Mus musculus: one gene and its partners. The protein of the gene in region 2 purifies or fractionates together with the protein of the main gene of each other region. This does not show direct contact. Links are inferred from orthologs where the notes say so. Each region holds a gene or a part of one and is shown on either strand. Other genes may lie near its edges.

Evidence for each region.
Region 1: the proteins of Ddx39b (region 2) and Specc1l purify together in Homo sapiens (affinity purification with mass spectrometry, with the first as the bait; 3 studies listed by BioGRID). This does not show direct contact. The link is inferred for Mus musculus from reciprocal best matches to the Homo sapiens genes DDX39B and SPECC1L.
Region 3: the proteins of Ddx39b (region 2) and Hsp90ab1 purify together in Homo sapiens (affinity purification with mass spectrometry, with the first as the bait; 3 studies listed by BioGRID). This does not show direct contact. The link is inferred for Mus musculus from reciprocal best matches to the Homo sapiens genes DDX39B and HSP90AB1.
Region 4: the proteins of Ddx39b (region 2) and Cltc purify together in Homo sapiens (affinity purification with mass spectrometry, with the first as the bait; 3 studies listed by BioGRID). This does not show direct contact. The link is inferred for Mus musculus from reciprocal best matches to the Homo sapiens genes DDX39B and CLTC.

What each region holds. Positions count from the first base shown.
Region 1 is NC_000076.6:75,244,234-75,251,970, forward strand, and holds part of Specc1l (cytospin-A), read left to right. Parts: intron 1-845; coding exon 846-2,479; intron 2,480-4,203; coding exon 4,204-4,411; intron 4,412-7,737. UniProt on the Homo sapiens protein: Involved in cytokinesis and spindle organization. May play a role in actin cytoskeleton organization and microtubule stabilization and hence required for proper cell adhesion and migration.
Region 2 is NC_000083.6:35,238,524-35,246,735, forward strand, and holds the start of Ddx39b (spliceosome RNA helicase Ddx39b), read left to right. Parts: upstream 1-3,222; 5' UTR 3,223-3,329; intron 3,330-4,154; exon of another isoform or gene 4,155-4,231; intron 4,232-4,293; exon of another isoform or gene 4,294-4,312; intron 4,313-4,589; 5' UTR 4,590-4,716; coding exon 4,717-4,927; intron 4,928-5,551; exon of another isoform or gene 5,552-5,612; coding exon 5,613-5,740; intron 5,741-5,932; coding exon 5,933-6,025; intron 6,026-8,212. UniProt on the Homo sapiens protein: Involved in nuclear export of spliced and unspliced mRNA. Component of the TREX complex which is thought to couple mRNA transcription, processing and nuclear export, and specifically associates with spliced mRNA and not with unspliced pre-mRNA.
Region 3 is NC_000083.6:45,565,380-45,572,600, forward strand, and holds the end of Hsp90ab1 (heat shock protein HSP 90-beta), read right to left. Parts: intron 6,533-7,221; coding exon 6,386-6,532; intron 6,241-6,385; coding exon 6,034-6,240; intron 5,799-6,033; coding exon 5,639-5,798; intron 5,421-5,638; coding exon 5,287-5,420; intron 5,188-5,286; coding exon 4,879-5,187; intron 4,448-4,878; coding exon 4,091-4,447; intron 4,009-4,090; coding exon 3,861-4,008; intron 3,748-3,860; coding exon 3,479-3,747; intron 3,184-3,478; coding exon 2,850-3,183; intron 2,746-2,849; coding exon 2,636-2,745; 3' UTR 2,399-2,635; downstream 1-2,398. Other genes in the region: Slc35b2 (adenosine 3'-phospho 5'-phosphosulfate transporter 1 precursor), read left to right, coding at 930-1,865. UniProt on the Homo sapiens protein: Molecular chaperone that promotes the maturation, structural maintenance and proper regulation of specific target proteins involved for instance in cell cycle control and signal transduction. Undergoes a functional cycle linked to its ATPase activity.
Region 4 is NC_000077.6:86,707,170-86,714,906, forward strand, and holds part of Cltc (clathrin heavy chain 1), read right to left. Parts: intron 5,538-7,737; coding exon 5,412-5,537; intron 4,821-5,411; coding exon 4,678-4,820; intron 4,407-4,677; coding exon 4,172-4,406; intron 1,904-4,171; coding exon 1,781-1,903; intron 447-1,780; coding exon 301-446; intron 67-300; coding exon 1-66. UniProt on the Homo sapiens protein: Clathrin is the major protein of the polyhedral coat of coated pits and vesicles. Two different adapter protein complexes link the clathrin lattice either to the plasma membrane or to the trans-Golgi network.

The sequences.
Region 1 (7,737 bases), on a different chromosome or scaffold from region 2:
CAACTAACTGGAGTATTTTTAAGGAACTGCCATCTTATGTAGTGGACAACAAGGCTATAGAGAGAGGAACAATTTTGTGATACAGGAATGTGGTTACCTATGGGCTGTTAGTGTTTTTTTTTTTTTTTTTAGCAGCTCTGCATTAATAATAGAATGGGATGAAGATATTGCACATGCTGCACAAATACACTGCTTCCCTCCCAGCCTGCTCTGAAGTTTTCCTGTGTGCATGTGGAATAACATGGGAGTTGTTGGTACTTTAAAGCTTTGTTACTACTTATGTGCCATTATGGGATCAGAACTTTGTTTGCATTTACTTTGGTTATCACTCTTCTGTTTCTTGTAGGTTGCCCAGATTTTGGGTTTATTCTGAGGCTGGCTTTCCTTTCATAGTGATCTGTGCTCGCCTCTCACTCTGTTTCCTGTAGGTAATCACCTAACTGGTTGATCTTAGAGTCATCCTAACTGAGCCTGCTCTGGAATATCGCATCCCAGCCAGTATGCAGGTCCTGCTCCTGTATCTGAGTTAGTGTGCATATCTTAACAGCCTATTGAGATATAGTTTATGTCCATAAAATTTACCTTGTGATGTTTAAAAGTAGATGTAAGGTTTCTAATCATTGCTTACTAAAAGATGATGTCCGGGTTTCAAGGTGATGGACTTTGCAGATGACCTGTTGCAGGTCAGATGATCCCTGGTCTGAAGGCGATGGACTTTGCAGATGACCAGTTGCAGGTCTTTCTCAGGATTGTGCCCAGCTTTCATCTCAGTAGCGCCAGGTTCGGAACACGTGCACTTTTGTTGCTAATAATTTTATCTTAAATTCTTTGTTTTAAACATGTAGGCACTAGTTCCTCAGCCAAACGGAGTACTTCGGCTGGTAATAAAGAGTCCAGTTCTACTAGAGAAAGATTACGTGAACGCACCCGGCTAAACCAGAGCAAAAAACTGCCCTCTGTAAGTCAGGGAGCTAATGATGTGGCACTGGCTAAACGTTCACGCAGCCGCACTGCTGCAGAGGGTGATATTCGTATGAGCAAGTCTAAGTCGGACAATCAGATCAGTGACAAAGCTGCTTTGGAAGCCAAGGTGAAAGATCTCCTCACACTGGCGAAAACCAAGGATGTGGAAATTTTACATTTGAGAAATGAACTCCGAGACATGCGTGCTCAGCTGGGCATTAGTGAGGACCATTGTGAAGGTGAGGACAGGTCTGAGGTGAAGGAAACTATTATTGCTCACCAGCCTACTGACGTGGAGTCTACTCTCCTGCAGCTGCAGGAGCAGAATACAGCCATCCGCGAGGAGCTCAACCAGCTGAAGAATGAAAACAGAATGCTAAAGGACAGGCTCAATGCTTTGGGCTTTTCCCTAGAGCAAAGGCTGGACAATTCTGAAAAACTATTTGGCTATCAGTCCCTGAGCCCAGAAATCACCCCTGGTAACCAGAGTGACGGAGGAGGAACTCTGACATCTTCGGTAGAAGGTTCTGCTCCTGGGTCGGTGGAAGATCTCCTGAGTCAGGATGAAAATACACTCATGGACCATCAGCACAGTAACTCCATGGACAACCTGGACAGTGAGTGCAGCGAGGTGTACCAGCCCCTCACTTCCAGCGATGATGCTCTGGACGCCCCCTCCTCTTCAGAGTCAGAGGGCGTGCCAAGCATTGAGCGCTCTCGGAAGGGGAGCAGTGGGAATGCCAGTGAGGTGTCCGTCGCTTGCCTGACAGAACGGATTCACCAGATGGAAGAGAACCAGCACAGCACCAGTGAGGAGCTTCAGGCCACTCTACAGGAGCTGGCTGATCTCCAGCAGATTACCCAGGAGCTCAACAGTGAGAACGAAAGGCTGGGAGAGGAGAAGGTCATTCTGATGGAGTCGCTGTGTCAGCAGAGTGATAAGTTGGAACACTTTGGCCGGCAGATTGAGTATTTCCGTTCCCTTCTTGATGAGCATCACATTTCCTATGTCATAGATGAAGACGTAAAGAGCGGGCGCTATATGGAACTAGAGCAGCGCTACATGGATTTGGCTGAGAATGCCCGTTTTGAGCGAGAGCAGCTTCTAGGTGTGCAGCAGCATTTAAGCAACACTTTGAAGATGGCAGAACAAGATAACAAAGAAGCTCAAGAAATGATAGGTGCCCTCAAAGAGCGCAGCCACCACATGGAGCGGATTATTGAGTCTGAGCAGAAGGGCAAAGCGGCCCTGGCAGCCACATTGGAGGAGTACAAAGCTACTGTGGCCAGTGACCAGATAGAGATGAATCGCTTGAAGGCCCAGCTGGAGAACGAAAAGCAGAAGGTGGCTGAGTTGTATTCTATCCATAACTCTGGAGACAAGTCCGATATCCAGGATCTCCTGGAGAGTGTCAGGCTGGACAAGGAAAAGGCGGAGACTTTGGCCAGTAGCCTGCAGGAAGATCTGGCTCATACCCGAAATGATGCCAATCGGTTACAGGACACCATTGCTAAGGTATTGCCCACGTAAACACGTTCTTGTTTAGTTTATACAGCTGCCATGTGGAGAACCTGAAGTGTGACGTTGCCTTTTAAAAAAACTCCTTCTCAAGTTTTAAAACGCACTACCTTACGTGAGTAAGACTTTCCTTACAGTACTGTCATTGTCAGCCGCTCCTCTTCTGTCATCTTCTTTTCAGAGGGGCTGGAGGGGCTGGGAACCATGCAGCCAGACTTCCTTCTGAGCAGTAGATAGCTTTACATCCTCGTCTCTAATGTACTGGGGCATAAGGCAGGTGCTGAGTCAGGATCTCAGTTTTCCAGGATTGGCAATGTCTGCTGCCTTTTGCCCTGGTGTAGTTTTTCAAATAGCATTTTATTGTGAGTTCATTCTACTTTTAGAGTAGAGTTGCTCCTGTTTCTTGGAGGTACAGGATTTATTGCTGGCAAAGAGCTTAGAGATGATTCTTCTAGTCCCTCATCTCACAGATGTTCAGTGTACTTACTAGTAAAGACTCAGTCAGAATGGCTGGCTAGGTTGCTAGTGTTGTTCTATATCCTGAGTGATTTTTGAAGTGAATGTTTTTGTACAAATTATCTATTTTTTCCACCCACCTTTTTAAAATGTGTATGTGTTAATTTATGGTACATGCGTGTGCACCCACAGAGGCACGGAGGATGTTGGATCCCTTGAAGCTGGAGTTGCAGGCTGTTGTTGAGACCCTTGATGTGGATGCTGGGAACTGAACTGGGCTTGTCCAGAAGAGCAGGGGTGCTCTTGACTGCTGAGTATTTCTCTGCCCGAGTGTGGGGAAGTTTTAAAGGGAAAGGTTTTATTACATCAGTTGTTAAACTTTGAATAACTTAACTTATTTTTTATGTATTTTAATGATCCCTTTTTAAAAAAACTTATTTCATGTTTGTTTCAGGTGGGGGAGGGAATATGAAAGCATGTGTATTGGGGGTGCATTAGTCAGGACAACTTGTGGGAGTTGGTTTCTCCTATCATGGGAAACTTCAAGGATAGGACTCAGCTCATTAATTTTGGCAGCCAACGTCTTTACCTCTGGAGCCATCTTGCCAGTCTGTTAGTGATCACTTTTAGAGATGTAATTCAGGAGATACATGTTGAGGGGCACTGTGAACTAGTACTTTGATAAAGACTACTTGAAATGAAAGTGTTCTGTTTGTATGTGCTTATTGTGTCTACGTGTGTGTGTACTATGAATCACGCGAGGAGATTGGAGGATGACTTGGAGGCTGTTCTCTCCTTCCTCCAGGAAGGTTCTGGGAATTGAACTCAGGCCCCCTGGCTTGGCAGCAAGCACCCTTCCCTGCTGAGCCATCTTGTTAGCCTTAAATGTTTTTCTGGTTTCATATTTGATTTCATTTTTTTTCTATTATAAATACTGCACTTTTATAAGTGAGGGTAGCATGCTAATCACTCATCAAATGCACAACTTAAGTCCAAATGTTGGAGAAGAGAAAACGTCCCCCAGGTGGCTCATAGATAACCTGGGGAAGTTCAGTGATGCATCAGTTGACTTTAGTCAGTGAGGCTTTGGGCTTGTGCTCAGACAAACCAAATGCAAACCTCGTGCAGTTGTAGTGCTGGTCCCCAGCGTGGCTAGGTTGTCAGTCAGTCTGTCCGTAGCTGCTCGCACCTCACTTCCATATCTAACGGTAAGTACTTTGGTTGTAGAGTTTATCCCCAAACAAGTCTCCTTTTAACTTCTTTAGGTAGAAGATGAATACCGAGCTTTCCAGGAAGAGGCCAAGAAGCAGATTGAAGATTTGAATATGACATTAGAAAAACTAAGATCAGAGTTGGAGGAAAAGGACACGGAGAGGAGTGACATGAAGGAAACCATCTTTGAACTTGAAGATGAGGTGGAGCAGCACCGCGCCGTGAAGCTGCATGACAACCTCATTATCTCTGATCTAGAGAGTAAGTAAGGCAGTGAGTGAGAGCGACCTCGTGCGCAGGCGCTCAGGCTTTGCCCACCCCACCTCTGCGTGCTGGTGCTCCGTGGTGAAAATAGCAGTTCTGACTAGCACACAGTATGGACACAGTAGCACGCTGACCTACCGAAAGACACTTTGACAGAGGTGTGCTTCACACCTTAGTGAGGAAACTCTGGGTCAACTATGTTGTGTTCTCAGATGTTCCATAGAAGCATTATTTGAACATTGTATCTAATTAATGAGAATCTCTGAAATGAAAAGGCTAACAGTCAGTTATTTTCCAGACCATAAGAAAAGCCATTAATTTATTTTTAGTGATTGCAAGTGAACAGAGTTGGAAAAAATAAAATAAAATAGGTTAATCTTGTAGCATACTGATCATGGAACACAGGTTTTTGTGTTTTTAAATTTATTTGATTTTTCTTATTATTCTGAGAATTTTGTGTCATGGTAGAATGAAACCTGCATTTTAAAGTTTCATTGTACATTGAATGAATTGATTTTTAAACTTTAAAATTTTTTTGTATTTGTAAGAAAGTTGAGCAATCAGATTTTTATATGAACCTAATCTATTTTCTCAAGAATTGTTTATTGATTACAGGACAGAAAAGAAACAGCAACTCCTTATGCAGTAGGGAAAGCTGAGCAGTGTTTGGGTTTTCATGTGGGTCATAGAGGCATGCGGTACTGGGCATAGCACAAGTGAGGGCTGCTCTGACTCAGGCACGTGCCAGCCACAGGGAAACAGACCGACAGCATGAGCATGCGCTGGTAGCAGAGGTGTGGAGGGGCTGCAGCCCTAAAGACATCAGTGTTGCAAAAGAGAAAGGCTATAGAAAGGTCCCAGATAAAAGAAGACTCAGGAGACAAGATAATTAGATGTAATGCCCATGTCTAGACAGGCCCATTACTACAGGGGAAAATGATATAAAGGCATTAATCAAACACCGAGTTGTGGCTAAGAGATTAAAGATATGCTAATAATACATTTAGGAAGTTGATAATTACACTATGTTTACATAAAATATCACTGTTCTTAGAAACCACACACTGAGTTTTTCAGGTGAAGGGCTGTGATTACTATACCCCCAAGGAGTTCTGGGAAGAAATTAGGCTGATGGGTAGATATAGAAACGAGCTATGACAGCTGATAGGACAAGTGAGTTGTATTCCTGCTGCCTTTTGTGCGATGCTGGAGATGAAGCTCAGGACCTTGTCCATGTAAATTTCACATTCTTACCACTGAACTACATCCTCACTTTTATATGCCTTTATATTACAGACCTAGAGATAGATTGATTGGAGTAGGCATGTCTGATGCATTAAAGTTTTTCAGACAATGGGTGTATGCAACACTCCTTCCGACACTCTCAGTTCATCATTTCTTGACAAAGCAATTATCATATTGGGCCTATCACTAGGCTGATGGGGACATTGAAGATACTTGAAGAAGAGCAGGTCAGGTGCGGGAAATGTTCAGGATAGAACTTGGGAATTCTAAGTTCTGGTTAGCTGATTGTGAATCTGGATTGACCAAGGTTTTGTTGAACATTCTGGGGCCCCTATTAAAATAGTCAGTGGTGGGACTGAATTTTTTTTTAAAGAAGATGGTGTTGTTGTGACTGCCATGAAATTTCTCATCCACAACTTAATCCTTCAGGGTGGTCTTAGTGTCTCATCTGTGGTCCAATGCTTAATTGACAGAGTTCTAAGCTGTCTTCAGCCGCTATAATAAGGTCTTGTTTCAGAGTCAAAAACCAAACAATAAGAACTTTCAGCACTTATATTTAGAGTTTTAAAAAATATATAACATTTTAAATTTTTACACACACACACACACACACACACACACACACACACACACACACACACATCTGTATGTGGACTAGATGTTCAAGAAGCCCAGAGGAGGGTGTCAGAGCCCCTGGGAGCTGGAGATTAGGTGGTTGTGAGCAGTCTGACATGGGTGCTGGGGACCAAGCTAGGTTCTTCTGGAAGAACAGCAAGCAATCTGAACTGCGGAGCCATCTCTCTGACCCTGGATTTAGTATACATTTTTTATTTGTGAGAATTTATTTAATTCTGCTTTTTTATTATACATTTTAAAGTATTTATTAGCACATATTAATTTTGCATGACAGTGTTTCGCTTAGACACTTTGATATGCAGGTATATTTTGACCATGATCACATTACCCTGTTGTCTACCTCCTGCTTCTCCCTTCCTCTTCTCAGCTAGTGTGTGCACTTGTGAGTTCTGCTAGGGTTACTTACAGGAATGTGGGTGGATTTTTTTTTTTTTAATTTGGGCTATTTATAGGCATATAGTTGAGTCACCTGTAGTTATCCTACTGATGAGAACACCTCTTCCCCCAACCAGTAGTACTTTATAAAGCTTCAAAGAGGGGCGGGGTAATTTTTCTTCTTGCCTGTAAGAAGTGTTTAAGTTTTCCAGACAATTCCAGAGTGACTTTGGAAGCTCCTTGTACTGTCCGTTGGGTACACTGGTACTGCCCTGTTTCCCATGCAGTTAGTCCTTGTGGTTTTGCTCATGGGCAGGAGTGACATCTTGTGGTAACTGGAGCATTAGCTAGGAAGATGTTAAATGATGAAGATCTTGGGGACAGAACATCACAAGTCATTCATTTTTCACATATGGATTTTAACTAGAAAATGACAAAAAACCAAGAGTAATTAAAAAAATTTATATAGCTTCTTTTACAATTTTTTAAGATGAAAAGTTCAAATGTACATTAGTATTAGAAGAATAATTATTACCTAGTGCTATTGTCTTTGTATGTATATGTTGAACTACTTAATACTAACCCTATGATGTTTAATTCTTAAATATTTAAATGTGATTCCTAAAAGAAGATTTTACTGAGCACTTCTAGCAAAATTATTCTTAGTTTTCTAGTATCAACTAATAGTTCATAATTAGATTTCTCTAGCTGTCATCAAAATGTTTCTTTATAGCACTGTTTACTCCCAGGTTTTAGTAACTCCTTTTTTATAGTCCTTCAGACTGATCCAGGACCTCATGCTAAGCAAGCTTTCTCCTAGCCTTAGATATTCATCTATTTGGGTTTTTATTTATCTTAGACCAGCTTTAAACTCATGACCCTTGTGCCTCTTAGTTTCTACAGTTATAAGATAATAAGTGTATACTATACCTCTCTCTCTTAAATAATAACCAGTGTCTAAACAAATTTTATACTTTATGTTAGATCTCTAGTGTTATATTGCAGTTACTTTTTCTCTGGAATTTGATGGCAGTTAATTTTTTTTTCTAGAAAATTCTCACATTTGG
Region 2 (8,212 bases):
ATGTTATTTAGCCCCTCTGTCCGAGTCCCAAATATATATCAAATCTCTTAGCACCTCTCTGTTTCTCCTGAGCTGGTCTTTCTCATGGTTGGCCCCCCTCTTTCTCTGTTTTCCCAAATCTTGCTGCTTCCGGGAGCTGAAGATATCTATGACATTCACATGCATGCATTCCTTTGTGTGCCCTCAGCACCTTGCCTCCTTGTGTAACAGCGGAGTGTCAATAAAATACTGGTGGATGAGTCAATTGTTGGTGAAAGCAGCCTCCTTTTTGCCTTGCCGTTGCTCACTTTGGTTCGCTGTCCTCAGAGTTATGCATTTATATAGTTTCCAAAACACTGCAAAGGGCTGTCCTGGAAGCTTTATGGAGAAACAAAAGGACACAGTACTGTGTCCCCTCTTGAACAGAGAGTTGCATAGATAGTTGTAAGGGAAATGTTGGCAGAGCAGCACTCTGTCTCTTTCCTGGTTTTACACTGCTCATCAGCACCAGAGACAGAGACAGACAGACAGGCAGGCAGGCAGACAGACAGACAGACAGACAGACAGACACACACACACACACACACACACACACACACACACACACGAGAGAGAGAGAGAGAGAGAGAGAGAGAGAGAGAGACAGAGAGACAGAGACTTACTATCTTACTAAGTATCTCTGACTACCCTGGAATTTGCTAGGCCAGGCTAGCTTTGAACTCACAAGAGATCCACATGCCTCTGCCTCTTGAGTACTGGAATTAAAGACGTGCACCACCACGCCTGGCTTGACATTATGTTTGGGTATTGGCTCTCATTATGTATCTGATGATAAAGGTCGTTGTATCCCCAGAGCCTAGATAGCACTTGGCACACACTTGGCAGTTGAGGAATACTTTGGAATAAAAAGATGCTGGGGTGGGGAAGGAGGAAGTTGGGGTGGTGGTGGTAGGGGGTGAGGGGGTGGGACACTGCTGGTCTCTGACCCCCATTCCTTTATCAGTTCTCTTCACTGCTCATTTCACCCTGAACTTGAATCAATGAGGTAATTCATAGTCTTATATGACTTTTCTGTAGAGAGACATTAAAAAAAAAACTATAAGCCAGGTGTGGTGGCGCATGCCTTTAATCCCAGCACTTGGGAGGCAGAGGCAGGTGGATTTCTGAGTTCAAGGCCAGCCTGGTCTACAGAGTGAATTCCAGGACAGCCAGGGCTACACAGAGAAGCCCTGTCTCAGGAAAAAAAAAAAAAAATCTATGCCAAATAAGGCAGTCATGAAACACCAAAGATATCTCACCACCCAAGTCTCACTTGGCAGACCAAAGAGCTCGCTGGAGTTATTGGCAGTATGGTGGGTGATAGGTTACTTATAGGAGTGAGACTGGAGTAGCTTCCCATCAGAAAGTCGCCCACCAGCGTGACTTGTATGCAGACCAAAGAGTCCTGCCACCAGGAGCTGTTTATTGGTGACACAATCTGGGAGAAGTGTTCCGTGTCTTGCAACTTTTTTTCTGAATTTCCTGAGCCTTCTCCACTCTCATCAGGAGGAAATGTTTCGGGGGAAATAGCTATACAAAAGCAAGGAGATTTTTGAAGAGGAGGGACACATGTGATAGGAAATTGGGGTGCTTACACCCTGGTGTTTCCCTGCTAGCTGTATTGCCTTGGCCACCTTGTTTTATTTCTCTATTTTCATATGTTTACAGGAAGAGTGGAGCGGGGCATGGGTCTGCATTCAAATCCTCCAGCAGGAGAATTGAGAGCTTGAGGCCAGTCTATATAACTGCTCAAACTCAGTAACAGAGAAAGGAAGAAAAAAATGGCAAGACAGATGAGGGGCACTCACCTTGCTGTGGCCCCAGTGGCCCAGGTTTTAAGCATTGTTAAAATCACAGCCAGCTGTTAAGACAATCCCTTCCTGCCCTGGCTACCTTAACGAGGACTGTCAGCATGGCCATTTTGAATCTTCTATAAAGTCTTTGAGGAAACCACACAGCTAATGGCTCAGCCAGGATTGTTTCTGTCCTCTCTCTCCTCCCCCAGTGGAGGGTGGAACTTCCCATAGTCCAGTAGCAGGAAGATGTGTTATCACTGATGCCAAAGGGACAATATTATGATTGGTGCAAACACAAGTCTTCATTTGCACGAGTTTGCTGTTTGCTGTGTTTGGTGCAAACACCCTTTGCTGGCTGTAAAGCAGAAAGTTTGGCTCACTTGGGTCAGCTGGGACAAACCTTACTATGCTACCCTCCACAATGTCACATTAGGTCCAGTAACAGGAAGACAGTGGCTAAGAGCCCGCCAACTAGGTCACTAGGAGAGTTCCTGGAAACGCTTCAAAGCTAAAGGCCCAGGTACCGCACTTTCTGGAGCTACAGTTCGTAATAAGTTACCAGGGCCGAGGAATTCCCACTCCTCTCTGATTTATACAAAACCCGCCGGCCTGCTGCTTAGGGCTGCCAAATGCGGAGGGATCAAAAGCTACCAAGCCCCAGCCCAGAGAGCTTATGCGTTGAGCAGGACACAGCCAGCTGGTTGGCAACACTGATACTTAGTGTTACTTTGTATTAATATTAAGTGTCCTTAATAGGGAAAGCCCGAGCTTGTGTTTATGTAGCAAGGCAACAGGACAACACTTCTGCTATATGTAACATCTCAAAGGGAATACCACATGGGGGGAGGGGGATGTCCAGGCTGAATAATGGAACTGAGATTATTCTGCTGCTCTAGTTAGCAAGAATTATGGAAAGGTGCATAACCTCAAACCCCACCATTTATTTAGCACCTAGACAGAATGTAAGCCTCCATCTTTCGATATAATTTTGGGTAAATCCTGCCTATTCTCTGCACGACTGTAATGGGCGTGGTCACGTGTCCCCCTCCCCTCCAGCAGAGGCCCGAGTTAGCCGCTCTCGGGTCACCTTGACTACGAGGCTAAGGACCCCGTGAGAAACGCTTCTCATTCGATCGCGGAGTCCTCCATGCCCACAGAGAGGTGCCCAGGGAGAAGCCTGGCGTGGCAAACAAAACTAAAGTAGAGCCGACCGTCGGAGGGTGTTGCATAAGCGTAGAAGAACAAAATGGAGAGCTCTGCGGGGGAAGACGTGAGTTTCCTGTCGCGCTCTTGCTACTGGCGACCGGAGGAGGCGTCGTCTGAAGCTTCATTTCAAGTGGGCGTTCTGCAAAGCCAGCCGCGGAGCGCGCGCGGCGAAAGCCTGCTTCCGGCTCCTTGCGCGTGCGCCCTGGCGGCCGGGAAGGCGGGAGGCCGGGGCGAGCCTGGAACCGGAAGTGAAGGCAGCTTCCCGCCTCCGTCCCCGTTGCTGCCGCCATACACGCTCGCAGTGCTTAGGTAAGCTTTGGCCCTGTGCACCATCCACCGCCATCTGCTTCTCCCGCGGCTCGCCCCGCCGCGCGGGTCCCTGATACCCGGTGCCGGGCCGGCGCCGTGGCCGCCGGCGCGCAGGCGGGCGTCCAGTTCTGTTGTCTTCACCCCTTTCTGAGAGCAGATCTTGGCGGGGAGCTGGGAGACAAGGGGGGAACGATCCAAAATGGTGGCCTCGGCCGCCATTGTGTCTCCGCGCTTCCTGGGTGTTCCAGTGGGTCCTCTGCCCACCCGGGGCCGCGGCGGCCGGAGGCGGCGCCAGGAGGAGGGCGGGGCCCCTCGCATCTCCCCTCCGGGCCTTTTCTTGCTCGCCCAGGGATGGGAAGATCTCGCTCCGGGGCCCGTCCAGCCCTTTGACCCCGCTTTCGCTGCCTTATTTGGAGCTCTCTGTGAATGGCTGCCTCTGTGCGTGGCCGATGGTGTCGCGCACTTCTGGGGAAGCTTTTCCGAGAGCACTGCAAGGCGTTCCTTTCTAAGGCCACCCGGCTCACACTCTTAATCCTGCATCGTTCTCAGCTGTGACCTTAATTCCTTAGTGCGACTTTTAAAATTAACTTTGGCAGCGCTGAGCCGAACCTTGCGGCCTCTCGCGTTACTAAGCAAGCACTGCCATTGAACTGCACACACCCATCTTTTTCAAAACAAAAAAATTTTTTTTTTCTTGAAATGGAGCCATTCATACACTTCCCACCCTCCGCCCCGCACCACCCTCCTTCCTGCTTCTGTTCCCCGGTCCAGGTGTGCGCCGCTGGGACGGCCACTCGGGGGTTTCTGAGCAAGAGAATAGCGGCAGCCACATGATGTTTGCATTTGGGAAGTGAGCGCTCTGCGCAGTGCTGACCCTTATCTATCACCCTTGACTGATGGCTGACGTTGGGGATCACCACCGTGAGGTGGCAGGAGAAAGCGCAGTCTCTGTCTTCCCTTGTCCTTTGTGTCTCAACCCTCGTGTGAGTCGTTAGTCACGCTCATTTTACTGCGGTCTCCCAGTTGGCTCCTGCCTGTCGAAGTGTGTGTTACAAAGTCTGGTTAGCGGTGGAGCCCACTCTGTCTCTCCCGTCTGGTGTTCCCGTTTCTTATGTCATGAGTCTCTTTGTTAACTCTTCTTTCGGGACAAAGGTTTCACAGTTTAGGGAAGAATAGGACGGGTGTAGGGATCGACGAGAAGTGACGAGTCCATTCGTGACTGATGAGTTTTTCCGGTTTTTTTGTTGTCCCCTCTCCCAGCTCTTCTGTCGGAAACTGGTGTCTTTCCCCTTGCTGTTCTTCAACCCCTCTCTTTGGCCCTTGCTTCCTCACCTGCTCTGGGACACCTAACTCAAGAGACCTCCCTTCTCCCCCTGCCGGCCCAATTATGGCAGAGAACGATGTGGACAATGAGCTCTTGGACTACGAAGACGACGAGGTGGAGACAGCCGCTGGGGCAGATGGGACCGAGGCTCCCGCCAAGAAAGACGTCAAGGGCTCCTACGTCTCCATCCACAGCTCCGGCTTCCGAGATTTTCTACTCAAGCCAGAGCTGCTCCGGGCCATCGTTGACTGTGGCTTTGAGCATCCATCAGAGGGTACATTTTATTGTTGGGTGTAGAGACCTTATTTAGCACCTCTGGTGCAAGAAAAGGGAGGTTCAAGTCTAGGGTCATAGGATTTGAATTTATTTGGGATAGGCCAAGCTCTGAGAATGTACCCAAGACGGCAGCTGTAGAAGAGGCTTTTGTTCTCCGTTAAACAGAGGGCTGCCATTTGTTCTGTGCCTGGCTTTTTTGCTTGGTTTTTGTCTTTCTGACTGTTCGGACTCCCAGAGAGGGCCTGGTTGGACCTTTAGTTCCCTTCTTTTGGGCCAGGCCAAGTGTCGTTTCCGGAAACCTTAACGATCAGGATGCTGGCTTCTGTGGCTTCTGGGTCAGGTACCAAGTCCTTCATTTTGTTCAAGGTTGCAGGGTTACATGACCCAAAAGCACAGCAACCTATGTAGGAGAAATGGCCTGTGGCAGTCGAATTCATAGATTGTTGCGGTGTAAGAAAAGTAAGTTTAGCCAGGAACGTGGAAGGTGAGCTGTTGGTAGCTTCACGAGGGTTCTTTCTTAGCGGAACTGGGGAGCTGGGGTAGGAGGGTTTGACTTGAGTGTAAGAGTGATGAGGGTCAGGGAAAGGATGGGGTCTGAAAGGTGACAAGGTGACATATGATGAGTCGGCTGGGGAGAAAGGGGTTTGGCACGGTGCAAAAATGTCTCTCCTTTCTCCTCCTAGTCCAGCATGAGTGCATCCCGCAGGCCATTCTGGGGATGGATGTCCTGTGCCAGGCCAAGTCAGGCATGGGAAAAACAGCAGTGTTTGTCCTGGCCACACTGCAGCAGCTGGAGCCCGTTACTGGGCAGGTATGTTGGGGGCAGTGCTGGAGAGGGTGTGGAGATTGAATCACCAGGAGGCCGTTTCTGGCTCCATGTGTTCTCAGCTGGTGTCCTCTGCAGTTCAAGGGGAATGTTCGCCAACATCACTGACAAGTTGCTGGATGCTCTTGTGACGAGGGGCTGACTTTACTGTGTCTGTCTCCATTTGCTCCCTCAAAGGTGTCTGTGCTGGTGATGTGTCACACTAGGGAGCTGGCTTTTCAGATCAGCAAGGAATATGAGCGCTTCTCTAAGTACATGCCGAATGTCAAGGTAAGGGGGGAAAGAAACCTGGGACAGGAGGCTGTGGGGAGACAGGCACTGGGAGGGAGGTTGGCTGTCCTCGGGCATCCCTGTGCTGTCAGTGGTGTGGTCACATGAGAGACTTCAGTTAGTGCCACACCCTTCTGTGGCTGCCCTTCCAGGTTCCATACTGTGAATACACCTGTGTGTTCCTGAGAGTTCGTAGCTTTAGGTGATACCACCGCAACACTTTGTGGTTAGTTGGTTTTGGTATTGCAGATTCCATTCCAGAGCCTTGAGCTACTATGTGTGGGACTGAGCCACCCCTGGGTCCTTTGTTTTTATGTTCACGACTGTCTCTTAACCACCACGTTGTCCTGGTAGGCCTTGAACTCACCTTAGTCTAGAGATAGGAGGCCTTGAACCTGAGGCTCCTGCCACAGGTTCCTGAGTAGTTGGGGCAGGCCTTTGCCACCTGGCTTGGCCAGAGCCTCTGTTCTGTTCTCCTGAATTGCTTGGTAGATTGTTTGAGAGTTGGGTTGTATGTGGCAAGAGGAAGCTAGATGCTCTTAAAACAGCCCTGGTGTGGACTTTAACTCTAGAGTGGTTAAAGCTTTCCGGGGGTCATAACAAGTGGCCTGTGTCCTCTGTGAAGGAACGTGGTGTGGCCTCACAGTTGGCATCCTTTGGAACTTTTGAGATTATATATTTCCATGCTTGGGTGAGTGGCCTGCTGGGTTTGAAAGGCCTTGTAAGCTGGCCCTGTGAGTAGAGAGATGTGTGCAGACTTCCTATTCTGGTTAGGGTGGGGAAAGAGCAGCTTGGATCAGTCTGGGCTGACCTTTGAGTCAAATCCACCTTCCTCTGCCTCTACTGGGATTAAAGGCGAGCATCTCCACAACCGCCCAGCATGACAGATTTAAAAGGGGGAATTCTAGAAGAAGAAAAGGAAAGGCAGTATGTGCAAAATGCTAAAGGAGGCCAGAGATCTTGTGATCTCTGAGGTTTCCATTGCTCGGCATAACCAAGCATTAGACATTGTTTTCCTAACCTGTCTGTGTGCAAGCTTACTGGCCTCTGAAACATTTTAGCGTATTTATATATCTTTTTCCTAGGATTTTGAAAATAGTTTGTAATCTGGAGGCATTGTCTATGTCTGTGTGCCTGTGCCTCTGGCTGTATGTCATTATACCTTGCCAAAAAACTAATAGACTTTCAGTTCCTTGGCTGACCGGTCCCTTGTGGTGGATTTAATAGTTGGGAACTGAAGCTGGATCAGTGGCTCATTCCTGTATTCCCATGGCCTGGGAGGTTGAGGTGGGCGTTTGCTGGAGTTGAAGGCTGCCCGGGGCTAAGGTCTCAAAACAAAGAGGGAGGGTGGCAAAGCTGCAGTCCTTCTCTGCAGGACCCACAGCACCCTTGTGCTACTCAAAATGCTCTGAGAGTTGGGATCAAGTCTGAGGTTGGGTTTGGTGTAGGAGCCTGCAGATTAGCTGGTTAGGTCCCCCCCCCCATCATAAAATCAGAATCATCTGTACTTCTCCTTGGCTGTGCAGCACAGTGTCCTCTAGGGGGCTGTCTAGTCCCTCCCTTAGTTTTAGCTCGCTTTTCCCTCAGTATTTGTAACTATGTCTGAAAGCTTAACTGATACCAGTAAACCATCGTGAACAGGAGTGGAGTGCTCCTGTGTGCATGTGTTAGCCATTGTGGTTCAGGATTGAGAAGAGGAAGAGGTTTACTGTAGAGTAAGCGTCCTGGTTATTTCTTTCCCCTTGAAATTGGACAAGTCCACGTGTCACAGCTCACACATCCAGCACTCACCTGGTGTCACAGCTCACACACTCACCTAGTGGGTTGCACATGGTGTGACTTTTATCTCAGGCACCGAGGAAGCAAAGGCTCCAGGCCAGGGAGACTGTCTGACAGTTCAGTTAGGAAAGCTTGCTTGTGGTTTGATCGTTGGGTGGCGCCTCACACTTGCTGGTGGCTTCTTGCTTTCTTCATCTGTGTAAGGAAGCTGTGACTTTGGAGTCACACGTGCCTCGTTGTGTAGATCAGCTAGGGCTGTGCAGAGCGATCCTGTCGTGGAGTTTGAGTGGAGGCGGAGAAGCTGAGTGTTCATCCCTTCCTCCATCCCCCTTGGCCCCCTGGTGCTGAGGGGGTCGCTTTGTTTCTTATGGGAGGCACAGGAGCCACTGCAGGCCTGAAAGCTAAGAG
Region 3 (7,221 bases), about 10 Mb from region 2:
CCCATATTCTGCTCTGTCTGTATGTTGTATCTGAGTGTGAATTTGAGGAATTGCTGGCTAAACATATCTCCAGAGCTGCTTCCCACATTATTATTTTGAGACAAGGTCTCACTCTGCAGCCCTAATTACTCCAGAACTCACTATATAGACCAGGTTGGTCTCCAGCTTAGAGATCCCCCTGCTCTACAAGTGCTAGGATTGATGACCCACCACACTGTTTTGACAGAGTTTCACAGGCTCAGACAGGCCTTGAACTTTCTTTTTTTTCTTCGCTGTTTTTCCAGACACAGTTTCTCTGAGTGGCTCTGGCTGTCCTGAAACTTGCTCTCAATACCAGGCTGGCCTCAAATCCAAACGCCTCTGCCTCCAGAGTGCTGGACAGAGTGGGTTAAAGGCATGTGCCACCACCACCCAATGCAAGCCTTGAACTTTCAACCCTCCTGCTTCTTCCTTCCAAATAGCTGGGGTGACAGCGTGTACCACCATGCTTGGCTTTCTCCAAAATTTTGTCAGTAGGATTTCTTTGAGTGAGGCTATCACAGGGCATTCAGAGTGGGAGCCAACTCACCTTAGATATATGTTGAATTGAAGTGTCCAGCCACCCCCACCCCCAGCTTCCAAACATCCCAGTTTCTTTTTGAGTTAGTTCAAACTAAATAAAACTCTTTATATGGTATGTGGAGCCAGCTCTAATGGATTTGCATCATGAAAGAGGACAGTGTTTGGTCTTAAAGCAGATGTCATGGTGTCTGCAACTCCATTTGATTCCCCCATAAAATGAGCTAAAGCTTGGGAAAGAAGGCCCCTCCCTCAGAGGAACCAAAAGTATGGTGTCAGTTACATCTGATGCTACCAACTCTGAGGAAGTAGGAAACAGACTTCTGCCTTTCCTTCTATACTGTCGCTCTTCTCTGCCCTCCCTCTTCCAGGTGTCCTATCTGACTTGGGGCATACTGCAGGAAAGAGTGATGACTGGCAGCTACGGGGCCACAGCCACATCACCAGGAGAGCATTTCACAGACTCCCAGTTTCTGGTGCTGATGAACCGTGTGCTGGCGCTGGTTGTGGCAGGCCTCTACTGTGTCCTGCGCAAGCAGCCCCGTCATGGTGCACCCATGTACCGGTACTCCTTTGCCAGTCTGTCAAATGTGCTTAGCAGCTGGTGCCAGTATGAAGCACTTAAGTTCGTCAGCTTCCCTACCCAGGTGCTGGCGAAGGCCTCCAAGGTGATCCCTGTCATGATGATGGGAAAGCTGGTGTCCCGGCGCAGCTATGAACACTGGGAATACCTGACTGCCGGCCTCATCTCCATTGGAGTGAGCATGTTTCTTCTATCCAGTGGACCAGAGCCTAGAAGCTCTCCAGCCACCACACTCTCTGGCTTGGTCCTACTGGCAGGCTATATTGCTTTCGACAGCTTCACCTCAAATTGGCAGGATGCCCTGTTTGCCTATAAGATGTCATCGGTGCAGATGATGTTTGGGGTCAATTTATTCTCCTGTCTTTTCACAGTAGGCTCACTACTGGAACAGGGGGCCCTACTGGAGGGGGCACGCTTCATGGGGCGGCACAGTGAGTTTGCGCTCCATGCTCTCCTCCTCTCCATCTGCTCCGCCTTTGGGCAGCTCTTCATCTTCTACACCATTGGACAATTTGGAGCTGCTGTCTTCACTATCATCATGACTCTACGCCAGGCTATTGCCATCCTCCTCTCCTGCCTCCTCTATGGCCATACTGTCACTGTGGTGGGGGGACTGGGAGTAGCTGTGGTCTTCACTGCCCTCCTACTCAGAGTCTATGCCCGGGGCCGGAAGCAGCGGGGAAAGAAGGCTGTGCCCACTGAGCCCCCAGTACAGAAGGTGTGAGCAGTGCAGTAAAGACCCTCATCTTCTGAGGCACTGGCTCAGTATCAGCATACAGCAGAGGATTGGAGCCCTGGAGGCAGCCTCTTTTGCCTTAAGAGCCCCCACTTCATGGAAATGACAGCTGTGGGTGTTTGGTTAGAGGTGACCCAGAGCTCCTCCCCCAATCTCTGAAATCTTGCTGGTGGCCAAGCAAACCAGCACCAGGGCTTTGCTCATAGCACGCACCCTTGAGGCTACCAGGCACCAGCTGGGAAGAGAATTGTTTACAGGTCATGCAGTTCCCCTAGGGGCCAGTGAGAATGGTGCTGTGCCAGAAGGGACAAAGGCCCCCAGCCCAGTTGGGGCCCCAGTGTTCCTACCCAAGTTTTGGTACTTGGAAATGTCACCTTTTGCTCTTATTTGATTAAACTGCAGCAGTGACTTTGGACCTGTGTTTTGGTTGGCATTAATAGTTGATGGACAAGTAACTGCCTTTCATCACCTTCCAACACCACTCAGGAAGCCCTGAGTGTTACAAGGAGAGCAGGACTGTATAAAACTGCATCTTCTTTATTTTGCATACTTTTAATTTTAGAACAAAATAAAACAAACAAAAAAACCACAATACATAACACCCAACCCTGCTATTCTGTGGGAGGGGATCTTCCTGCCTTAAGGCACAGGACAGGATAGAAGATTCTTGTAGACATGAGCAGAGAGCCAGGTGGGTCAGGGCTGCTGGGGGAGCCACGGGGATACTATACAGAGGGCAGGGCTTCTTCCAGGAGGCTTTAATCCACCTCTTCCATGCGCGAGGCATCCTCATCGCCTTCCAGAGGGGGGATCTCATCAGGAACAGCAGCACTGGGCTCCTCTGCAGTGACCTCATCTTCATCGATGCCTAAGAGAAAGACACAGATTTAAGTAAGCCACAAAGCACTAAGTCTGCCCAAAGGTCCAGCTAGTACAACAACTTGCTACCAGGAGCTCACAAGCCAGACTCACCCAGGCCTAGTTTAATCATGCGGTAGATGCGGTTGGAGTGGGTTTGGGGATCCTCAAGTGAGAAACCAGAGGAGAGCAGAGCAGTTTCAAACAGCAGCACCACCAGGTCCTTGACAGCTTTGTCGTTTTTGTCTGCCTCAGCCTTCTGCCGCAGGGTCTCCACGATGGGGTGGTCAGGGTTGATCTCCAGGTGTTTTTTGGCCATCATGTAGCCCATTGTAGAGTTGTCTCGCAGTGCCTGGGCCTTCATGATCCGTTCCATGTTGGCTGTCCAGCCATAGGTGCTTGTCACAATGCAGCAGGGTGAAGACACAAGCCTATTGGAGATTGTCACCTGTGGACAATCAAGAACAATGACAAGATGTACCTTGGCCATAATGGAACTGCTATGTATGAAGAACCTTACTAAGATGGCAGGCAGAGGACTAACCCCCTTACATGCTCTGGAGACTGAAGGTTGCTTGAGTACAGGGATTCAAGGATAACCTGGGCAACACAGGAAGGCCCTTTCCTTGCATACATACATTAGATGGAATAATTACTGTTTAGTCTGTGTGTGCCTGGTCTGTGCTGCCTGACATTTCTAGCTGTACAGCAGACTAAAATATTTGGAGCTAGGGGAGACTCACCTTTTCAACCTTCTTGTCCAAGATCTCCTTCATGAGCTTGCAGAGATTCTCAAACTTTGCCTTGCTCTCCTCCATTTTCTTCTTCTCTTCCTCGTCCTCTGGTAGCTCCAGGCCCTCCTTAGTCACTGAGACCAGGCTCTTCCCATCAAACTCCTTGAGCTGCTGCACGCAGTACTCGTCAATAGGCTCAGTCATATACACCACCTCGAAGCCCCGCTTCCGCACTCGCTCCACAAAGGCAGAGTTGGCCACTTGCTCTTTGCTCTCACCTACAGGATTAATACAACAATGGCCACATGGCCACCACATGGCCTCCACACCACCACTTCCCCCTTTCCCAAGTCCACAAGACAGCTTTACTCAGACCCAATCTCCGACATACCAGTGATATAGTAGATGGACTTCTGGGTCTCCTTCATGCGAGACACATACTCTGACAAGGAGGTCATCTCATCTCCAGACTGAGAGGTGTGATAGCGAAGGAGCTCAGAGAGGCGGCGTCGGTTAGTGGAATCTTCATGAATTCCAAGCTTTAAAAGAAAAATCCAATTATATGAGCTGGAAAAAACACCCTAAATACAAAGTTATTTGGAGAACACTTGTCCGTCTTACCTTTAAATTTTTGGAGAAGGCCTCATAGAACTTCTTGTAGTTCTCCTTGTCCTCAGCCAGCTCGGAGAAGAGCTCCAGGCACTTCTTGACGATGTTCTTGCGGATGACCTTCAGGATCTTGCTCTGCTGCAGCATCTCCCGGGAGATGTTCAGGGGCAGGTCCTCGGAGTCAACCACACCGCGGATAAAGTTGAGGTACTCAGGTATCAGCTCGTCACAGCTGTCCATGATGAACACACGGCGGACATACAATTTGATGTTGTTCTTCTTCTTCTTGTTCTCAAAAAGGTCGAAGGGAGCCCGCCGGGGAATGAAGAGCAATGCCCTGAATTCCAACTGACCTTCTACAGAGAAGTGCTGAAATGAACCCAATAATACATTTTAGGACAGGACTGCTTCAAGCCCCAATATCAAACATCTGACAGCACTGTGAATGCTGTACTGCTGAACCCTATGAATAGGAAAGCAGCCCTAATCACAAATAAACCCAGCATGCTGGTAGCAAGAATTATCCCGCCAAGCAGAACCCTGGCTGTAATCAGGGTGGTGGCCATGACAGTGGGAGTGATTGAGAAGAGTAATCCAGTGTCAGATATGGCTGACACCCTGATTCCCACCAGAAAGAGAATGTGAAACCACTGTTAGCTCTGAGTAGCTCCAGTGTTGTCACATGGTTCTTTTCTGTGGCTTTCAGGTCCCAGCTACCAACCAGTCGAGCCAGTTATTCCTTACCACCTCCAGCTTCTGCCTACCTACCCTGCCTTACACAACAGAGGAAGGCTTCTCACCTTGACTGCCAAGTGGTCCTCCCAGTCATTGGTGAGGCTCTTATAGAATTCGCCATACTCCTCCTGCGTGATGTCATCCGGGTTTCTGGTCCAGATAGGCTTTGTCTTGTTCAGCTCCTCCTGGTCAATGTACTTCTCTTTGATCTTCTTTGTTTTCTTTTTCTTGTCTTTGCCGCTGTCATCTTCCTCATCGGATCCCACATCTTCAATCTTAGGCTTCTCCTCATCCTCCTTATCTTCCTCCTCTTTCTCACCTTTCTCTTCCTCTGCCTCATCATCACTGATCTCCTTCTCCCGTTCCTTCTCCAACTAAATCACCAATGACACATGTAATTAATTGTGGAGAATGTAGCACCAGCAAGGCCCAGTGCCATTAGCCTGCTCCAACACTGCCAAGCCCATACTCACATAGAGGGTGATGGGATAGCCTATGAACTGCGAATGTTTCTTCACCACTTCCTTGACCCTCCTCTCCTCCAAGTACTCTGTCTGGTCTTCTTTGAGGTGAAGGATCACTTTGGTACCCCGGCCAATGGGCTCACCTACAGAGAACAAATCAAGACATGAAAAACTGAAACTAAAATACAAGAACGAACTACGCTTTTTTCGTTCCTGGTTTCTCAAGCAAGCTAAGATTCCTGTGTAGCCCCTTTGCTTGCCTTAAGAACTCACCCAAGTGCTGGCACTCACCACCCCTTAAAATGTACTTTTATAGAATACAACGTCTAAGGTTTCCCCACAATGTAGCCTGCTGCCTCACCATGGTCTGCCCGGACGGTGAAGGAGCCACCCGCAGACGACTCCCAGGCATACTGCTCATCATCATTGTGCTTCGTGATCACAACCACTTTCTCTGCAACTAGATAGGCCGAGTAGAATCCGACACCAAACTGCCCGATCATGGAGATGTCTGCACCAGCCTGCAAAGGGTTTGAAGTAAAGAGGATCAGCAACATGGTTCTTGGCCAAGTATAACCATCTGCTGCGCAAGGTAACAATCAGTTCAATGTCCAGAGATCTAGGGGTCAAAGCTGTCCTGACCAACCACTTGTACTTTTTTTCTAATAAGTGTCCTAATATGTAATACCCTAGACAGACAAATTTTAACTTAAGCAGTAACAAATTAGAGGACGGTGTGGATGAAAGGCCACACACCTGGAGAGCCTCCATGAACGCCTTCGTGCCAGACTTAGCAATGGTTCCCAGGTTATTAATGAGGTCAGCCTTGGTCATGCCAATGCCTGTGTCCACCAAAGTCAGCGTGCGCTCCTGAGGGTTGGGGATGATGTCAATTTTCAGCTCTTTCCCACTGTCCAACTTAGAAGGGTCCGTCAGGCTCTCATATCGAATCTTGTCCAGGGCCTGTAGTAAACGCAAAAAGCCAGATTATTTTATTTTTCCAAACAGTCCCTCCCCCTTCAACATCAACTGAACTGTTCTTCTCAATCACTCCCACACACACACACACTTCCGTGAAGCCTTAGAAATTCAACAACAGAATACTCACATCTGAAGCATTAGAGATCAACTCGCGGAGGAAAATCTCCTTGTTTGAATAGAAAGTGTTGATGATGAGGGACATGAGCTGGGCAATTTCTGCCTGAAAGGCAAAGGTCTCCACCTCCTCCTCTCCATGGTGCACTTCCTCAGGCATCTAAGAATGAAAGAATTACTACTAAGGACCATTATAGACACACATTTTAATATCCAGCTCAAACTTCTTTAGTCTGGGAAAGTATCCAACCCAAAGAGACAAGAGCAGCCATTTTCTTTAAAAAAGGACATTTAAGCTACAATGGCCAAGACAAAAATGACAGAAAAAAACCTAAAAGATGGGTTTTCCAGAACAGATGCCCAAAAGTCAAACTCTTGAACATTGGCATGTTCAGTGCATAGCTCACTGACTCTGAACAGAACACCTGGCAATATGGTAAAAATCCAGACTAAGTTAACAATACATAAAAAAGAACCTCAAGCAACCCCTGGTACTCACACCCCTTAACTACAATCTCCTCATTGGGGTGAGGAACAACTTTAACAGAAAAAGCAGTCTTTTTTAATTTTTATTTTATTCCACCCAGCAGGGCAAGAGAACCTTGAAGCTGTAGTCTGGGAGGCGCTCACGGGGCAATTAAATCAGGACAAAGAAATCAAGAGCTCCACCGTGACCACTCACTGTGCAGACTTGCATAGGCCGGAACCCAAGTAAAATGGTGGCCCAGCCGTCCAACGACCCTCGTCACTGCCGGACATGCGTCGGCAGGAGCCACACGGGGAGGGGGCGCCATTGAAACCCTCCCACCGCCCCAGCATCCGGGCACTGGGGCGGGGCGCCCAGGCTTC
Region 4 (7,737 bases), on a different chromosome or scaffold from region 2:
ATATACTCCATAACACGTGTTCGGTCAGCCTTAATTGCAGTGAGGATGAGGAGATTTTGCAGATTCCTTAAGAAACCAAGACATTCAAGCACAATGTCATCAAAGAGTCATCAATGGTGAGGAAACACCACTGTGACACTAGAGGGTTATTTGTCTCAAGGGTCAGGGTGAGAAGAGCGTGTATTAGGAGAACAATCCAGAAAACTATCTGTTCTCTTTGTTTTCTCTTCCTTCCCCAAACCAACAGGCCACAAAGAGAGGCTGAGGAAGCCAATGCAAGCCCCTGGCAGCATAGCATACCTGTGCTCACTGAATACGGAGTTATCAAGAACGATTTTCTCCAGCAGTTCAATGAGCTCATTAGGAAGATCTGCTGTCATAAAAGCCTTCACAGTTACTGACACTTCTTCTGGGTCCTGAGTTTCAGACAAGGCTGTCTGTACAACCTACAAAGGATATACATGGAATAGTTTAAAAAAAAAAAAGGTATTTTTAAAAAGATATTGCCTGGTAAGAACAAGTTAGTTAGCTTTTCATTAGAAAACCTCAAATAGAAGGAAAAATACCCTTCTACTCAAAGATCTTTGTACACAAATATACATGAACACGTTTATATATGATGTTACCATTAGTGATTATGCAATTTTCACTTTCCCCTGTTAAAACACTATCCATAATAACGTATCACTATTTCTTTAATGGATTCTTATTTTCAAATCCCTAGGCACAGATAAGAAATTGAACAGCTCTTGTTTTGTCTACTTTCATGTGCTCAGATGCCATGTGATTGCAGGGAGCTTTGTATCTACTTGGGAATGTGCCTTGGAACCACTTTCTAGAGAGTGAGTGAATAACTCAAGAGCTAGTAATCTATGCCTCAAAATGCTCTATCTTTTTGTCTATCAGAAGAATTTAAGAATCATTTTAACAACAAGCAACAATTAGCACTTTAAATTCAAGATTTCAATTTCATATAGGTATAAAAATCTTCACTCCAGTGCTGTGCTATTTAGTTAAGACTTACTACTGATTTGGGTATCGAGTGTGCTATTCCTGTGTTTGTGTGCATGAATGTACAGGTGCATGTATCCAAAGGTGATCCAGGTGTCCTGCCCAGTCACGTGCTACTTTACTTCTGAGACAAGCCTCTCCCTGCAGCTGGAGCTCATTCATCTGGTTGGACAGCTGACAGCCCGAGAGATCTTCCCGTCTCTGTCTACCCAGCACTGCAGTTACATACAGGGGCTTTTATGTGATGCTAGGGACCAGAACTTAACAATCTCCATGATGCTTACTTGGACTTTTAGAAAAGAATTTGAGATAGAATCTTGCTACAGTCATAGGACAAGGTGAACTCAAACTCATATTCTTCCTCTCTCAAACTCCTAAGTACTAGGGACTTCAGGCATAAGCTGTCATACCCCAAAATTACTTGGATTTTTTTGTTTTTGAATTATCAATCCTCATTGTGTGCTGATGTACCTTTGTAAATGTCTTGATTTTGGTCATGTGTCAGGTAACTACTTTTAGTCAATCCTAATTTATTCCCTTTCTTTAGTGGTGATGAACTTAAGATAATTTTATGTTTTTAGACTTCACTTTCCTTATAATATTTTACACATATACATGATTTTACATTTATATAGTACAATTTTAATGTTTTTTTTTCACTTTTTCTGCCTTCTGTTATAGTTAAATATGACCCATTTAAATATATTTGGATATATGATAGGAAAGTATTCCAAGTAAGAATGATTGGAAACATTTTTGTGATTCTTACCTGGTCAATTAACGGTCTTCTGTATGGATTGCTTTCCAGTAGCACACTACCCCACAATTCTGGATCCTTTCGACGGACTAAGTAGCGAGAAAGGCTTTTGAAGAGGGAATTCTCATTGCAAACCTAATTAAAATAGCAAAGGTTAATTTCAGTGCAAATAGTAAAAACTACAGACGAGTCTGAAAGTTATTTGTAATCATATCAACTCTTTTAAAAAAAAATCTATTCTATATAGAATCTTGGGAATATCACAAATATTCTCACTGAAACTAAAGGATGGGGGAAAATTTAGGCACTTTTAAAAAGACCCCCACTACTGCATCTTTATTTTTCTTGTTTGAGATTGTGGTCTCACGTACCTGAGCTCTAAAGTCCTATACCTACCTGCCTTTACTTCTCACATGCTAGAAATACAGACACACACTAGCATATTTAGCTTATTTTTGATGTTAAAGCATTAGTTTTGTATTAACCTTAAATTATAGCTTTGTATTACAATCCAATACAGATCTGGTCGCCTTCAAAACTTTCTTCCAGTGTTTTATTAGCTAGTGCACACTTACTTCTCCATATATCTGCATGTAAATATGCATAATCTTTGAAAGTACATACATACATACATACATACATACATACATACATACATACATACATAAGTTTCTAAGGTCTGACCACTGAACAATTCTAGAAGGAACCTTCAAGATAGAACTTGGTTACTAATGGCATCTTTCATTAAAAGGTTGGGGGTTGCCTGAAAAAAAAGAGCAACTCTAAGCTAGGAAAGTTGCACAATGAGCCTTGAAGTGCCTCAAAGCAATCAGGCAACAATTTGCATGCCAACAGAAATTACAGTAATGGATTGTAATTCAAAGAGCACAACAGGAATCTATGAATCCAAGAATACTGACTAATAAATATGACAGAATTTGTTTTCAGCACTGGGATTTGTAAGCAGGACCTCACTCATGGTGGCCCAGTTTTCTACCCTTGAGCTCTAACCCATAACTGATAAAAGGAGAAAGGGATGAAGTAGTCATCAGCCTAGTAAGAATGCCTTATGTTACAAAGGCCAAGGATAGACAAGGAGGAAGAACATGTGCACCATCTGTTTATGAGGACTCCTGAAGGGAAGGTGGACAATTCAGTGGAGGCTGGCGACATAAAGAAAGAAAATAAGCTTCTAAATCCAACAGCACGGGGCAAATACCATTTAAACAGCGCTCTGAGTAGAAATTAGACCTGAAAACCTAATTATAGAAAACCCTTATTGAAACGCTTGATTCTAGCTACAAAGCAAAGTGACAGAGGGAAACTGAGGACTGTTTTCCTGTGGCCAGGCAGGGAGCTCACTTATACAGTACTCTCCCAGCACATGCAGTCTCAACACTGCAGAAAAGGAGGAAATGGAGATCATACATTTACATCAAATGTTCAGGAGCCAGCAAAATGGCTTCGTAGGTAAGGTCACTTGTCACCAAGGCTGATGACCAGAGATCAGTTCATTAGACCCATATCTACTGAGGAGATAATGGATTCCTACAAGTTATCCTCTGACTTCTACATACTTGTGCACAAGTAATAAATACTTTAATTAAAAAATTACAGAACAGGGAAATCCATTGGGGCTGGGTGTGGTTAAGCAGTTGTGAGGTTCTATGGGAAGGGAGTGTATGGAGATTTACTGAAAAAGAAGGTATCCTTGCTCAGTGCTGAGCGCCTGGATAAGAGTGGTGATTTTGCAACACTGAACTCACTGAAAGCCACTTAGATGTTCACTTTACAATGGAAAATTTGGTTATGCACCTATTTCACCAAAACAAACAAACCAAAACAAAAAACAAAAAAACAAAAAAACTAACAAAATACAAATAAAAAATTAGTTTACCAAAGGTATCAATCATTTAAAAACAAAATAAACAAACAAAAACAAATTTCTAAGAACTAATTTAGAATAAAGAGGCTAAAGAGTGGACACAATTGTGATCCTAAACTACAGAAAACCCTGACAAAACTGAAAACAAGCTTTTTAAAGTATCTTGCTAATGTCTGACTGTTGCTAGTACCCACATAAAGATACTTCTTCATTCTTACAAAGTAGAACCGGAATGGATGCAAATCCATGAGGTATGTAACCTAGTTAAAATGCTTTGTGTGGCAGGCCGTGTACAAGAACCCAAGCAAAGCTAATACATGTCAATTCAGGAGAGAGTGTATATAGACTTAGGTTTACTACTATTTCCAAATAAAGTTTTAAAAAGCACACATCTGCCCACAACTGTTGCACATTAACTAAAAAAAATCATATAGAATCTCAAAATTTGCTAACTGGAAATACAACTAGTTAGAGAACTACAGGTATCTCTGCACACACTCAGCACACTCAGTACTCACATTGATGAGCTCCAGGTCACACTGGCCACGTTCATAAGCAACACAAGCCAGATGGGGGTCTCTCTTCTCACAGTACTTCCCAACAACACGACTGTCATAATAAGGGTTTTCACGAAGAAATCTCTCTGGGTTGTTGTTACTGTCAATGTATATTTTGGCAAGTGCATTGTGAGTAGCAGGCTCCTCACAGCCCTCATGAATTCTGGCCTCAAGCCAAGGAAGAAGCAGCTTCAATCTAGTAAGAACAACAGAGCCCAGACATACTGTGTTAAAAACAGCACAGTCTTCTCCTAACTATACAAATACAATCACATTTCAGGAGAAAATGACAGAAACAAAAACCTTTCAACTCTAAGAGCAAGTGTGTCACCCTTCTGTCAGCTGCCTCCATGATTTACCCCATGTGCTGAGAAGCCACACTCAAGTCAGTCAGCCGTATTTCAACTCTTCTACACTACCAGGAGTGACAAACTTGTGTGTTATAAGGAGAGAAAACAGTGCTACACCTGTTTCTTTTCTCGACTTCAGCAACAAGCTCATCAGTAGAGAATTGACCTCTCACAACAAGAATCAAATTTTTAATGACATCTTCAGAGCAGTCAACATCCAGCAATCCTCCAATAACCACAGGAAGTCGACTTGGATTTACCTATGTTTGAAAAAGAGAAAATAAAAAGAATTACATTAATAAGCAAAACTGAATGAAAAACTTTAAAGACCACTTCTTTTTAAAGCCTTGTTTTAAAGAAAAATTAGCAATAAACTATGAATCTAAAATTATGGTCAGATGATGGAAAAGTCTAGCTAGAAAGACCTCACATTCTAATAAGCAGGGAGCACTCACCCTGTGGTCTATGGTTAGCTGCTATGGTTAATCAGTTCTACCTAAGGATCGCTCCAAATGCTGAAGTATAAAAATAACAACAGCAAAGATGACTATGGAAGATTACTAAGCACAAAAGCATCACTAGAGTATCCTGAAGTTGGTAAGTCTCTAGTACCTAATTTAAGCCATGTGCTTTGGGCTTTGGTTCCTAGACTTTCCAACCCTTTAGACTACAGTAGCTCTCTCTCACACTTCACATTCTGGCATGGATGTAAAATTGTAATAAAAGAAAAGACTGAGCTGAGGAAAACCATGGAAAGCTACTCTAGCAGACCATTCTTACCAGGCACAATGAGAAGAACTCAAAATGCTGTAGTGATAATATTTAAATTATCTAAAAACCAAAGTACTTACCTTCTGGACATATATCTCTATATACTTCTGAAGATTGTTTCTATATAAATACAGCACCAGGTCATGGACAAAGTCAAACCGATCACAGACAATGATAAGTGGCAACTGATCTGTTAGTTTTGCCTCCTGAAACGGGGAAAAAAAATAAAAAAGAAACTTCAATTTCCCCATTGCGTGAATTAAAATATGAGCCTCCTTTCTGTGTTGATGGGAGAGGCTTACATAAATGTAGCTCTTCTGTTAAAAGAAACAAATGACCCCAAGGCTGCATGTCCTTCTCCCCATTTCAGTACATTTTACTAAAGTACAGCTTAGATTCACACACAAAACACCAAGCCCTTCCCATGCACATCTTTAATAAAGAAATTAACAAATTAAGATTTGTGAGCCACCAGTAGCAGTACACAGGTTTTAAAAAATCACTACATGGGGACTTTCACTAATAAAAGACATTTCAGTTAAAAAAAAATCACTACATGGGGACTTTCACTAATAAAAGACATTTCAGCTGAATTCGGCAGCTGATTTAGTAACATTCTCACATTGGTGGCACAAATGCTCACATTTGTTTCAAACTACTGATTTATTTCCTAGCCCTCCCCAATACCAAGCTCTAATAATACCAAAACACCTAGCCTCTAACAATCTATTATAATTAAATCTACAAAGAACACTGTGATAATGGCCATGAATTAAACACACCAAATAATTTAAAGAAAAGACATCTTTAAATTGCCCATTGCTTTTACCATTACAAAGACAAAGCTAGATAGAGTCCTACTTATAGACTGACAGAGATGTTATAGACAGGCAGGTAAGGGTAAGACCTGTGTGGGGCAATTACCTGATACATGTCCTGTTATATTCCACAGACAAAAGGTACAGCACAAAAAACAACAGTTTCCATCAGGAATTCATTTATACACAGTGACACATTCCTCAATCCATGATTCTTCTAAGAGCTGACTAAAGAAATACATACTAAGCAGGATAGGACTTTCCCCAATGGTAGCCACTCCTTTTAAGGGTTAGAACAGAATGTGTGTGTGTGTGTGTGTGTGTGTGCGAAGGGTGGTGGTGTCGTACTGGGGATTAGGCTAGAACAGTAATCTGCCACTGAGTAACATCAGACAATAGAATGGTTCTTAGACTAGGCTCTAGCCACCAAATTATAAATCACATGAAGATTAGTCCATGAAAGGTTCAGAAAATATCAAGAAATTTTTGTGAGCTACAATAAGTTAAAAAAAAATGAAAATTGCTAAAAATTTGAAGTAAAAGTCCAACTGCAGACTGTTCACATTAAGGAAAGTCAAAGCATGTGAGAACTTATTTCAGAAATGGAAAACACTGTACTAATGGCTGCTTCAACTATCCCTAGAAAGGATGTCTGTTCTACAAATGTAAAGTTCCAGGCCAATTTTTCCTCCTAAATAAGCATAAAACAAAACAAAACAAACCCCAAAACTCAGTGGACTACATTAGTCTTCTGTGCACATAAAACACAAGTTTCATCAACTAGGGGAAAACATGCAAGGAGACTACTTAGCTAGTTCATTTCTGACTAGAACTATGGCGTTTTCCTGTTTATCTAAACCTTCACAACAGTTTGTGCATAAAACTAATGCTCTAAATATTTTATTTTTGATTCTGTGTATGGTGATGTACACATGAATACAGCCCGCAAGGGCCTGAAGCATTAGGTGCACCTGGAATTGCAGGTACTTTGTGAACAAGCCAACACACAGGGGCTGGGAAATGAATTCAAGTCCTCTGGAGAGCAAGTGATGCTAACTGGTGAGCATCTCTCCAGCCCATGCGATCTATACATTTTAAACCGTTTACTAAGCTATTAACCATTATTGTTAGCAACCGTTCTAAGACAAAAATTAGACTTGGGTAAATACATGTACAAGTTTTCTACAACACAAATTTAACAACTACAGTAAGCACTCCTGTGTATCACGGAAAGTGCCTCCAAGTGGGAAGAGGCGAGGTTTCCCTCACAGCAGCAAGCATTACAGCAGAAGTGAAGCAAGGCCATCAAGATGGAACTGGTACAGATATCAGCCTGTTTGTTTGCAAATGCATGTGGAGGGCAGAGGACTGACTTCAGCTGTCATTCCTCAGGAGCACTGTGCCCCTTACTGAAGACAGTCTTTTCACTGGCTTGGAGCACACCAAGGGACCCACCTTGGCCAGGGTTACAAGCATGAGTTAACACATGTACTATTCTTTCCTGGGATCTGGACTCTAACCAAGGCTTGCAAGGCAAGCACTTTACTGACTGAGCTACTTCACTTACCCTAGTAGTTTCTATTTTAGG